3 linked regions of the Canis lupus familiaris genome follow. The protein of the gene in region 1 interacts with the protein of each later gene in a pairwise test. Links are inferred from orthologs where the notes say so. Each region holds a gene or a part of one and is shown on either strand. Other genes may lie near its edges.

What was found.
Region 2: the proteins of FATE1 (region 1) and SYNPR interact in binary tests that used the Homo sapiens proteins (3 or more experiments, as listed by UniProt). The link is inferred for Canis lupus familiaris from reciprocal best matches to the Homo sapiens genes FATE1 and SYNPR.
Region 3: the proteins of FATE1 (region 1) and BNIP3 interact in binary tests that used the Homo sapiens proteins (3 or more experiments, as listed by UniProt). The two-hybrid records come from large-scale screens. The link is inferred for Canis lupus familiaris from reciprocal best matches to the Homo sapiens genes FATE1 and BNIP3.

Annotation. Positions count from the first base shown.
Region 1 is NC_049260.1:120,980,358-120,984,408, reverse strand, and holds the start of FATE1 (fetal and adult testis-expressed transcript protein), read right to left. Parts: upstream 2,806-4,051; 5' UTR 2,711-2,805; coding exon 2,605-2,710; intron 1,582-2,604; coding exon 1,454-1,581; intron 1-1,453. UniProt on the Homo sapiens protein: Involved in the regulation of endoplasmic reticulum (ER)-mitochondria coupling. Negatively regulates the ER-mitochondria distance and Ca(2+) transfer from ER to mitochondria possibly implicating it in the regulation of apoptosis.
Region 2 is NC_049241.1:28,047,164-28,051,462, forward strand, and holds the start of SYNPR (synaptoporin), read right to left. Parts: upstream 2,803-4,299; 5' UTR 2,632-2,802; coding exon 2,614-2,631; intron 2,473-2,613; coding exon 2,407-2,472; intron 1-2,406. UniProt on the Homo sapiens protein: Intrinsic membrane protein of small synaptic vesicles. Probable vesicular channel protein.
Region 3 is NC_049249.1:40,552,846-40,556,811, reverse strand, and holds the start of BNIP3 (BCL2/adenovirus E1B 19 kDa protein-interacting protein 3), read left to right. Parts: upstream 1-1,164; 5' UTR 1,165-1,179; coding exon 1,180-1,291; intron 1,292-2,446; coding exon 2,447-2,597; intron 2,598-3,075; coding exon 3,076-3,160; intron 3,161-3,966. UniProt on the Homo sapiens protein: Apoptosis-inducing protein that can overcome BCL2 suppression. May play a role in repartitioning calcium between the two major intracellular calcium stores in association with BCL2.

The sequences.
Region 1 (4,051 bases):
CATTTTTCTAAAGCTTTCCCTCCCTCACAGTGAAAGTGTGGAACAGATTGGATACAGAACTTGAAACTCAGATGACTCCCTTCAACAGTCAGGTCCCTCTCCTCTCCAACTGGGTTCTCTTTTTCCAGCAACTTTTGCAACAGTATAGCAACCATGTTTCCAAAGCTTCTTCTCACTTAGCAGTGAATGTAACCTAAAGGATTGGCTACACAGTGAGAGATCTCACGGGATTCCCTAGAACACTCAGGTCTCCCTCCTCTCCAAAATGACCACCTTTTCCCAGTATCCTTTGTAACAGTGTACCTGCCAGTTTTCCAGAGCTTTTCTTAACCCACATTAAAGGTACTTTAAAGGATTGGCTACATAATGGTCAGATTCAATTGATTGGATTTCCTAACAGCCAGGGAACATAGGAACCTAACTTGTCTTAATCTTTTTCCAGACTTGAGAATCATATTGTTTTATGTATGTATATTTCTATTTAATAGCGTAGATGAGGTCCATCTACAGTATCAAGGATTACTAATGTCTTTTACTTAAAGTCCACAGAGTGTAGATGCTAACTAAAATTCCAAAATGATGGGGATCCCTGGGTGGCTCAGCGGTTTAGTGCCTGCCTTTGGCCCAGGGCGCGATCCTGGAGTTCCGGGATCAAGTCCGGCGTCGGGCTCCCGGTGCATGGAGCTGCTTCTCCCTCCTCCTGTGTCTCTGCCTCTCTCTTTCTCTCTCTATCATAAATAAATAAATAAATCTTTAAAAAAATAAAAATAAAAATAAAATAAAATAAATTCCAAAATGCCTTCATGGCAACACCTAGACTAGTGTTTGATGGAATAACTGGGAACTACAGGCTACCCAACAAACAGGTAAACTTGACCCTCATAGTGATCTAATCATTAGGGAAGCTGAGGGAGAATTTGGACTTAGACCAGAGACTGTAGGACCTGTATGGGGACAGTGGGGCCTCCAATGGCTACAGACAGATTCTTTCTTTCCTATCCTTCCTTCCTTTTATTCATCAATGATTCTCATGATTCCAGGCTGATTATTTAGTTGATAATTAAATAATTTATATAGTTATAATTTATATAGATAATATAGATAATATAGATATGGAAGGAAATATACATATAGAATTATTTATTTATAAAGGAAAGTGTCATTTCACACACAATAGAGTTTTGCAAAATAAAGTGTATATGTAGTCCCCAAGGAATATGTGAATCCGGTGTTCTGGAAACCCAAGGTTGAGCTCCCAGCCTACCAAAGGATGGCCCTGACCTCTCAAAGGACATCCCTGCCTTCATTGCCTCACTGGTACACAAAAGCTTTTTCCTTTGGCCCCAAGTCAACATCTGGCTCTGCTCAACCTACCGTCATGAAGCTGGAGCCCCTTTAGTCTGTTGTCCCAACCCCAGCCTAGCCACTGCATGCCAAGGACTCCATACAGTACCGCTTTCTTGCTCCGGTTGCCAGTCATATTCCAACCCGATTGACCTGCAGCAGAGCCAGCAGCCTTTGGATCCGCCTTCTGTCGCCGCTGAGAAGCACCCACAGACTGGGATCCATGCTCCATCATTTCTAGGCAAAAGAAGAGAGGCCCCAGAAACACCCATAGAGGCTATACCAAGGCTTCCTGGACACAGGACACACCAGAAAGAGGATAAGGTACCCAAACTTCTTAGGAGTCATTCAATATTCATTCACTGTTGTCCCCTGGCAGATCCCAAGCCTCAGTCTGTTCATTTGTTTAAAAGTTTAGTAAGTATTTCTTGAGGGCCAAACTCTGGGCTAGGTTACTGGAGGGAGAGCAATGACCAAGACACAAGATCTCAGCAATCTAGTAATCAACTGTCTATGTGTGCTTAGCTGAAGTGAGGGGTGCAAAATGGGTATAATCTATCAGTGTTAACTCAGATCAAGAGATACATGCTCCCAAAATGATAAGAACAGGGCAACATGGTGGAAGGAAGGGCTACTTCTAGAAAAGCCAGAAACACCTGTGAGGCAGAGACCTGAAAGACAAAAATGATGGCAGCCATGGAAAATCTAGGAAAACAGCATCCCAGGCAGAGGTAGCAGTCAACACAAAGGCTATCAGGAAGAATCAGCCTTCGGGTCTTATGAGGACAAGTATAAATGCAGTGTGCTGTGGGTCATCATACCACAGCATGAAATATATTGAGGAGGTGGCATTGGCTGGCTCTTGTAGATCAAGGAAAGGAGTTTGGATTTTACTCTAAAGGAGGAAAAGGCATTAAAAAGGAGAGAGAATTGGTCTGAATGATCTTATAAATTGAGCGCTCTGGATACTTTGCCATAAACACAGTGGTAGCTTGGACAGGGGGAGATAAGGACCACACATGTGGATCCCATCCTACTCTCTCACAGGCTTCAAAATGCTCACATCATCAATACCTTTCCCCCCCAGCTTCCTGTTCATCAAGGCACAAATACAGGTATACGCACACCAAGGCACAGACACACACATAGCCACACATACTTGCATATATATGACTCTTCCCAGCCATGAACACACCTTCTCCAACACATGTGACTGGGTGCAGACACCCAAAGGAAAGGGACATTACAGGGGCTCCTCACCTGCTATCACCAGGTGCTCCTGGCTTTTCCCATAGTTTCCAGGAACCAGCTCTTCAGCGATGGATGTTTCCATCTCCTCCTTGATAGTAGGGGGGCCTCCTGCCATCACAGCTAGCGCTTAGCTATTAAGCTATAGCCAGGATACACAGGAAGCCGGGCACAGAGCAGACTCTTGGAAAGTCTGCTCTTCCAGGGGCAGGAGCTCGAGGAAGATATATCTGGCCATGGGGGTGGAGCCACACTCTCCCACAGGACTCAGGCCTTGGACCCAGCACCTTGTGTTCCTGTTGTATCTTATTGGCTTGGTTCACAGTCTTCTCCCCTGCTACTCTGTAAGCAACTTAGGAGGAGGAGTTTCTGATACTTATCTCAGAAACTTTGCCTGTGAGAACTACCCTGGCTCTCGGGTCACATGATTTGGCCCCATTGAGGGGCCAGTGGGATCTACTCTCCATCATTTCTAAAGAGAGGTAGATACTGGCACAGGACCCCAAAGCCAGTCAGTAGCCAGAACAGGGTTAGATCCCAAACTTGTTGTGGCTTCTGCAAGCCCAGCTCTGGCAAGTATTTCAGGCCACAGCTCCCCTCAGGAGGCATCCTCTACAGAGCACATCTTGTTTCCCCCCAATGTAGAGTTCCCAGGGGAGATGGCCTTTTAATGCCTTGGGTCAGTCTGAGCAGGAACCATGAGAATCTAAGGAGGGAAGGGCAGGAAAGAAGGGATCTACCTGTAGCCACTGGAGGGCCCACTGTCCCCAGGCAGGCCCTGCAGTCCCTGGTCTAAGTCCAAATTCTCTCTCAGCTTCCCTAATGATTAGACCACTGTGAGGGTCAAGTTTATCTGTTCGTTGGGTAGCCTATAGTTCCCAGTTATTCCATCAAACACTAGTCTAGGTGTTGCTATGAAGTTATTTTGGAGCTTTGGTTGACATTTGCACTCTGTGGACTTTAAGTAAAAGACATTACTAATCCTTGATAATGTGGATAGGCCTCATTTAATGAGTTGAAAGGCCTGAAGAGCAAAGACTGAGGTTTTCCAGCGAAGAAGAAATTTTGCTCAAGAATGCAACATCGGGAAACAAAAGCAAACAAAAACTCCTGGGACTAAATCAGAATACAAAGCTTTGGCACAGTAAAGGAACCTGTCAACAAAACAGAAAGGCAACCTAGTGAATGGGAAAAGATATGGGCAAATGATGTATCTGAGAAGGGGTTAAAATGCAAAATATATAAAGAACTGATACAACTGTCAGCACTAGAAAAACAAAAAAATCCAATTTAAGAAGGGGCAGAGGACCTGAATAGACTTATTTCCAAAGAAGACATACAGATGGCCAACAGACATGTGAAAAGATGCTCAGCATCACTCATCATCAGGGAAATGCAAATCAAAACCACCATGAGGTATCACCTCACCCCTGTGAGAATGGCTAAAATCAACAATACA
Region 2 (4,299 bases), on another chromosome or scaffold:
CCACCCAGGGATCCCTGATCACTTACTGTTAACCAAGCTCTATGGAAGGCACTAGTGGGGAACACAGAGACAAACAGAACAAATTTCCTGCTATCTAAAAGATCACTCTCTCATTGTCACCATTTTCTACAGAAAAGATGCCTCAGAGTGGTTCCTCACACCAATGCATACACGTAACACATTTTCCTTCTCTCTCTCCACTTTATTAAACATTCTCAGTAATGAACCTTCTTGTCTCCTCTCTCATTTCTCTACCTTAGCTCTTTTAAAAGGTAGATCAACTAACTTAAATGAATTTTTAAGGGTTTGGTTTTTTGGGTGTGTGTGTGTGTGTGTCCCTTATCCCTTATTCAGGTTCTCTTCCATAAATGAGAAGCTAATCACCGATTTGCAAGCAAAAGCTCTTCCACCTTAGAACCTCAGAGACCTAGAAGAAGGAAAAGACTAGAAATATTTTAGGTGTAATAAATGTTCTCTCTCGCACACACACACATACACACACATCAAGAAAAAAACAACTGTAATGCAGTGTGATAAATTCTCATGAGTAAAATGTAATAGAAGCCCAAAGAATGGGCTGAATCATTCCATTTTGGGAAGAGAGAGGGGAAAGGAACAAATGTGAGAGAGAACTTCAGGAAGGTAACATTTAAACTGAAGTTAAAAGACAAACACTTTTTCTAGGCTTATGGCGTGAGTATGAAAAGAAATAGCAAGAGCGTGAAGGTTAAAAGGGCTCTTGAGTTTTGGAGGGAACCTGGATAGCTTATCGTGGTGGTCCTCCAATCTTAAAGTGGATAGGTTATCTAGGGGGCTTGCTTAAAATGCAGATTCCTGGGTATACACCTTCCCAATATTTTGAGTTAATGTCCAGAAGTCTGCATTTTAAACAAATTCATCCAGGCTTAACTACTTTGAAGTATGTCAGTAGAGGCTGTGTGGTGAGCAGTGGCATGATGTTGTCAGAGGGCTGAAAAGAATACAAATTAATGTGTCAGGTAAGTGACAACCTAAGACAATAAAAGATATCAGAAAATGATGTCAACTCTTTGAATCTTGTTTTGAGAGACAATGGTTTGGCAGTGGAGCTATTACTTTCATCAAAAACCTCTGCTCTTCCACAGGGATTGTTTACTGAATGGCTAAATGAATGAATGTGGGCAGAATTCTGAGAAAGCCAACCGGAAGTTTCATGGACTGTGAGCACTGCTTGCTTTGTTTAACCCGGCTGTGAGGAAACCTGTTTTAGGATGACCATCCCAGAACAAGGTGCAAGGCTTCCAAATGTTGTCTTGACATGTGTCAAATTGATATATTCGTGCATTTTTACGCAGGCTCATAAACAAGGCAAAAGTGCTTACCCTGTGGATCATCATGCACCACAAGTCGTGTAGCCAAAGCCAGACATTAGCCCTTTAGAGCTGAGATCTGGGAGGCCAGAGCACGCTCTTATATAATTTCCCAGCTAGTCAGTGGTAGGGCCTGTGATTAATGCTACATGACGGGCTTTGAACTTCCCTGTGCAGATGGGTCCGGCTGCTCCTCAAAGCTCCTAGCAAGAGAGGAATGTGCGATCTGCAGATTTCACTCTGAATAACCATCATCTAAGCCAACAGCACTAGCACTGCTCAATGAACGACTGCTACTGTGCCTCACTCCTTATCAATAGGTTGCCATAGGACTGTCAGAGTGGTTTGCTGTTGTTGTTGTTGTTGTTGAACGGGGACAAAACAGAGGAGTAACAAAATTTCGGAGAGCCCAGTGGCTGAAGAGAGCTAAGCAAAGAAGGCTGGGAGCTGGGGGGAGGTTCTTCTGGAGGAAATCCTGAGAGCCCTCGAGCAGTGGCCGGGGTAGAGGAATGACACCAGGGATGGAAGGCGTCCTGCCCTCTCCACCAACCGCATTCACAGCCTCGCGGCGCCTCGCCGGAGCTCCCGCAGGGCAACTGAGCGCAGCAGCGCTTCCAGCGTCCCGGGCCGGGCGGGCGAAGGAGCGGTCCCCACCAAGAGCAACTTTCAAGCTTGGCCAAGGCAAGGCCCAGCCTTCACAGTGTCCCTTCAATCCACGCCCCTTAGCCACCCTCCCCTCCACCTCCGACCCCCCGCAGAAGCGCAGGTGAGGCCGGGAGCGCAGCGGCGGCCCCTCCATCTGCTGCGCTCCCCACCTCCCCATCTCCCGGGGAGGCTCCAGGCAGCAGCCCCGGCGAGGGCGCCCGCGGGAGGGGAGATGACACCTCGGAGCGCTTGCAAAAGCCCGTCTGCACGGCCGCCGCCGAGCGCGGTGCCCCCGGCCGGTGCCCGCCAGCGCCGGGGGGGGGGGGTGCCCAGGACCGGACTGCGCGAGCGCCGCGCGCCCTCCCGACCTCTCCGCACCTGGCTCCGCGCCCCGCCCGCCGCGCGCACTCACCAGTTCCAGGGCTCGCAGGAAGGCAAGGGGCTCCTTGAGCGCCCGGAACGTGCCCGCGGAGGCCAGCTTTGGACGGACGAGAGCGAGAGAGAGAGGGAGAGAGGAGAGGAGAGGAGAGGAGTGAGGAGGGGGCCGCGGCCCTTCCCGCCTCCCGGGGCCGCAGGGCCCCCAGCCCCCGCCGCCCTGTCCAGACCAGGTCCGCCCTACCTGACTCACGGGGTCCATCGCTCGCGCGCGCGCTGACCGCTTCTCCCCTCCGGATGAAGTTCGGGGGGCGCCGCCGAGTCGTCCTCGAGGCCAGAAGCTCGGCGGCGGGCAGCGCCCGGGGGGCGAGGCCCGGGCAGCTCGGGGCCCGCGCGGGCTGGCTGATGCTCGGCTGGCGGTGCGCTCCGCGAAGCCTGCGCGCCCGGGCTGCGAGCGGAGGCGGCGGGGGGGCGGGGAGGGGGCGGGAGGGGGAGCGCCCGGGGAGGGCTGCCATTGGCCAGCTGCAGCGGGGGGGCGCGGGGGCGGGGGGCGGGGGGCGGGCGAGGCCGAGCGCGGGGCTCCGGGCAGGCTCGGCAGCGCGCGCCCGCGCCCTCGGGCTCGGGGAAAACTTGGGGGGCCGAGGGCGGGAAAAGCCGGCTGGCTGCGTGGGCAGCGGGGTTCCAGGGCGCAAGCAGGGGTTGCAGGTAAGAGAAGGGCACCCGCCCCTTACCTGGGGACGTGCGTGAGGTCCGGGGACATCCGAACACCAAAGCAAGCCTGCTGGCGTCGGGGGCCGCCCTGGGTGCGGCGGGGCAGCGCCGGGGCGGGGGCGCATCCGAGAACCCGGGGCCGCGGCGCCTTCCCCAGCACCAGCGGACCCGCGGGACCCACGGACGCGGCGAGAGCGCGGGACCCGGTCATCTTGAAAGTGGTCCAGGGCCCCAAGGGGGTCATTCTCGGGGCCACTGCGGGAGGTCAGGAAGCAAGTTCTGGTGCCCACGTTAAAGGTAGGAAAGAGACTTCAGGGGGTCCCTGGGTGGCTCAGCGGTTTGGAGCCTGCCTTTGGCCCAGGGTGTGATCCTGGAGACCCGGGATCGAGTCCCGCGTCGGGCTCCCTGCGTGGAGCTTGCTTCTCCTTCTGCCTCTCTCTGTGTATCTCTCATGAATAAATAAATAAAATCTTTAAAAAAAAAAAAAAAAGAAAAGAAAAGAGACTTCACAGAGGCCGAATTGGCCAAGGTAACACACAGCTCATGAGAGGTCAAAAACGAAGTTTTCCGTGCTTTTCCGCTGAGATCCTTTGCCAAATAACCCCCGAATGAAGCTCCCCGAATTCATCATAAATAGTACTGAGCCCTCGCCTGCCAAACTCATACTTTTTTTTTCTTTTTTTTTTTTTTTTACCTCCCTCGTTCTGCTAATCTTCCTGAAAAGGATAGATCACAACAGCAAAACAATCGAGTTCTTTCTGTGGGTCAGAAATTGTGCTGAGAGCTTTATAAACATTAGTTCACATATTCAACATAACCCCCGTGGGTTAGTATGCTATTATTCTCACTTTAGAGATGAGGACATGGAGGGTCATGGAGGCGAAGTTGGTCTGCTCTAGTTTAAAGAGCTAACAGAGAATGAAGCCCGAGCTGGTTTCAAAGTGTCAGAAAAAGAGAAGATGAGGAAGGGTGCTCAGCCACTAAATCATGTTGCTGGTGTGCCCCCTTCCTTCTCACTCCCTTTGGACTGGATTCCACATATGAAGTGGTCTCCCAGCAACACAGATACCCCATCTGTTTACTACAAAGATCTGCCAAAAAGGTTTGGAGGTTGTGTGTGGAGGGTGGAGTGGTGGTGGTGGGGGGCGACTAATATTTAAGAGCAGGGGATGAAGATGGAAATGAATAGTTAGGAGTTAGCTAAGGGGAGACAGCAGGC
Region 3 (3,966 bases), on another chromosome or scaffold:
TCCCACTCTGGAGCTTTCATAATGAGGGCTCGGGGTTAGGGGGCAGCAGCCTGGAGGAAAGCCGTCAGACGCGCGGTCTCGGGGTGCCGGGGCGGGTGGCCCCGGAGTCCCCGCAGCTCCGCGGAGGCCCTGGCCTGTGCGCTGGTGACGAGCTTGTGCGCCCGGGCCCGCGTGAAGCGCTTGGGAAGTTGAAGGGGCAAGCCGTGCGGCTGGGAAGCCTGCGTGACATTTTGTTGGCTGACTGGGAGGCCGACGTAAGCTGGCTGGTGGGGCCTGTGCTTTGCTTTTTTTCTGATTAACGCGACGTGAGAATAAGGTACAGAGGGCAGGTGAGGATGCTCTGCAGAGACGTGCAGTCGGCGAGCCGGGAGGTTCCCGGGGTGGAGGGGGCGGCCCTGCGTGGGGCTCGGGCTGGGCGCCGCCGTGCCGCGGAGGGCCGTGTGCTTCCGTGTTGCTTGGGAGTGAGGCAGCTCGGCGTGACCGTCGCGGGACAGAGTGACTAGGGGCGCGGCTCCTAGGCTCTCGGGTACCGGCTGCCGTCTCCGCGGCCCGCCTTCGTCTGACAGGTACACGGCGCCGGAGACCCACAGACTGGAGCCACAGACAGACGGTCGGGCTCCGAGACAGACGTGTGCACGTTGCCAGGAAGCAGCACAGCAGAGGGTGCAGGGGCAGGCGGCTCGGGGCGCGGGAGCAGCCTCCCGGAGGGCCACACGCCCAGCGGGAAGCCGGGCTCGGTGAACCCAGGCCTGGTGGGGGGGTCCCCGCAGCACCGATCTCCGTGGCCTCAGCAGGAAGAGACTGAAACTTCGGATTAAAATCAAAGACTGTTGTTGCTCAGAACACGGCATTAGCTCTGTAAAGGCAAGGCCCAGGGAAGTCACCTGCGGCCTGTGCAGATGAAGAGCGGCTTGTGTCATGCACGTTGAGCTTCTACAGACCGCGGGATTTTTGAACAGCTTCTGTATGTCTTTTTCTTCTTTTCAGAGAGAGAGAGAGTGTGGAAGGGCAGAGGGGCAGAGGGCGCGAGCGTGCGCCTCCCTCTGAGCGGGAGCCCGATGTAGGGCTCCACCCAAGGGCCCCGAGAGCATGATCGGAGCCGGAACCAGGAGTCGGATGCTTGGCCAGCCGAGCCGCCCGGGAGCCCCCTGAACAGCTGATGTAAAAGCTGCTGTGCAAATGGCCCGTAAACATGACACGGTGGCCGGTTTCATGGGAGATCAGAGAGATGTAAAAGGAAGCACACAGGACACGGTCACAGAGACTGGTTGTGCCGAGTGTGAGGCTGCAGGTCTGATGTCTGGTGTCGTTGAGGGGGCTCACCTGGGTTCAGTGGGCAGGGCGGGCGTTTCCTGGTAACACGGGTGTGCACGTGCTCCTTGAGCCCAGCGCCCCGCTCCTGGGCTGACATGGGCGCGTGGACGCCGGGAAACACCAGCAGTTACGGGGCCCCCGGGGGCTCTGGCAGTGAGGGTCCGACTCCTGGATTCTGCTCAGGTCGTGAGGTCGCGCCCCAAGTCCGGGGCATCTGCCTGGCATTCTCCCCCAGCCCCGCTCCTCCTGCGCACGCGCGCTGTGCGTCTCTCTCAAATCTTAAACCCTAGCAGTCGCGGAGCAGGCCCCGTCCTGCGTGGACGGTCGTGGCGGAGCCAGAGGGTGTGTCTGTTCTCAGGTCCCCACAAGTGCTGCCGGCCCCGAGGTCCTGGGCTCTGCTGGGCTCCTGGCGGTCGGGGTCATCTGAGCCTCCCGGGGGGTGGCCAGGGGCCCGCTCCTGCGCCCCCCAGCAAGGCACCCATGCAGGCTGCCCTCCCCGCCCCGCCCTGTCCCAGGGCCCTGCAGCGGTGAGGGTGCCCTGGGCCGTGTTTATGTCAGCATGACGTCCAGGTGCGCTCGTGAGGACCCAGGCTGCTGAAGGCGACAGCCTCACTCGCGGGGGTGGTGGGTCGGGGGTGGTGGGTGTGAGCCTCTGTCTCGGTAAGTGGGTGATCGGAATCTGCAAAACGTGGGCAGCAGCAGCTCGGGGGGCTCTGGCTCCGGCTGGACTCGCTGGGGGACGGTCGGTGAGCAGCCCCCCTGGCTCTGCGGAGCTCGCGTGTCCGGCTTTTGGTGGAGGGGACCCAGAATCCAGTCGGGGTGGAGTTCTGTGGGGCCTCGGGATCAGCGTGTTTCTGGTGGGGAAAGAGATGGGAAAGAGATGATGTGAACCTTACAGACGTCAGTCTCTTCGGCTCTTGTGGACGTGAGGGCAAGACTGCACCGCGGTCAGCCGGCCTGCAGCGGCCCGTGGCTTCCCGGGTTAGCGCTTCTGGCCACCGGCTGGGGACCCGGCGCCGGGGCTGGCTGGGCGTGCGTCCCCACACCCCGGGTGGCAGGCGGGCTGCTCCTGTGCCAGCGGAGGCTCCGCGGTGGGCGGAAAACCCCCAGCATGGCCTTCCTGTCCCCTCAGGCTCCTGGGTAGAGCTGCACTTCAGCAACAATGGGAACGGGAGCAGCGTTCCAGCCTCCGCTTCTATTTATAACGGTGACCTGGAAAAAATACTGCTGGATGCCCAGCATGAATCTGGACGGAGTAGCTCCAAGAGTTCTCACTGTGACAGGTGGGCATACACACGCGCGTCTGTTCCGGTGCTGACATCACGGGGGACGAGCAGGGCCGGGTCCAGGAGTGGCCTCTGCCCTCCTGGTCTGTGGGCGGACCGCGGCAGAGCTGAGGGCCCCTGCCCCTGCCCCTGCCCCTGCCCCTGCCCCTGCCCCTGCCCCTGCATGTCCTGCCTGGCCCCCTGGCCACCGCGAGCTGCCGTGCGTCAGTGCTGCCAGTGACTCCCGGTGGCAGGGCTGAGTCAGAAATCAAAGGTCAGCTGCTCTCGGCTGTGCAGCGGGGCACAGAGCCAGTGCGGGAAGGCGGCCGTGGGGAGCCCCCACCCCCCACTCTGGCTGCCCGATGCCGGCCTAGCCCAGCTGAGGAGGGCGGGGGCTGGGGCCTGGTGCCGGTGCTCCTCCTCTCGGAGGCTTTGCCGGTCACGAAGGACAATGTTCATGTTCTGCGCCTTCTCCCGTTCTCCTGTCTCTGCGCAGCCCTCCGCGCTCACAGACCCCGCAGGATACGACCCGAGCTTCGGAAGTAGACACCCACAGCATCGGAGAGAAAAACAGCTCCCAGGTGGGCCGGGGTGCTCGTGCTCGCAGCACGCTGCGGGTTTCCAGTGACTGAGGAGACCAGCGTGTGCTGTAGGCAAAGGCTCTTGCCTTTTTTAAAGCCATGAGGTGGGGGCCTCCCGACACCCGAGCTGACCAGAGGAAGGGCCGGCCTCTGCTGCCCTGCCCTGCCGCCCGGGGACGCCCGGGGACGGTGGATGGCTTCTGCAGCCCAGACAGGGCCACGTGGCCAGTGGGAAGGGCACCTGGGTGCCCCTCGGTGGGTGTCTGTCGTGGTGGGGGGTGGGCTTTCGTGTGTCGGCTGCTCGGGGGAGCCTGGCGTGACCTGCACACTCGGGCTCTGCTGATGCGCTGGGACGCCGTCGTTGCTCAGACCCCGCCTCTGGCCGTGCTGACTGGGGCTGGCGCAGCTCCGTGCTAGGAGTGGAGGCCGCGGCCCCTGAGAACGGGGCCCCCAGTGCTGGGCTGCGACTGCGCCCCCCCGGGCCCTGGCCCCCAGGACTGCTGCACCTGCGAAGGAAATGTTTCCTTTGGCTGTTTTCAGTGATGATGAGAACATGAACAGTTGATGTCTTTTTCCATATTTATTTCAAAATTTCTGAGGAAGCAGGGTCTTGCAGTTGGTACCACTGAGACCCTTGATCCCTGGGGTCTCTCCTCTGGGCCTCCCGCTCACCTGGGCCCTCCTAGCACCCTCCCTGGTCCCCTGGGTGCCCTCGGGGTGCCCCCAGGGCCGCTGCTTGGTTTGCCTGCTGCATTCCAGAGTATTTCCAAAAACGGAAGCAGTGCTTTTTCTGATTTTCAAGAGGA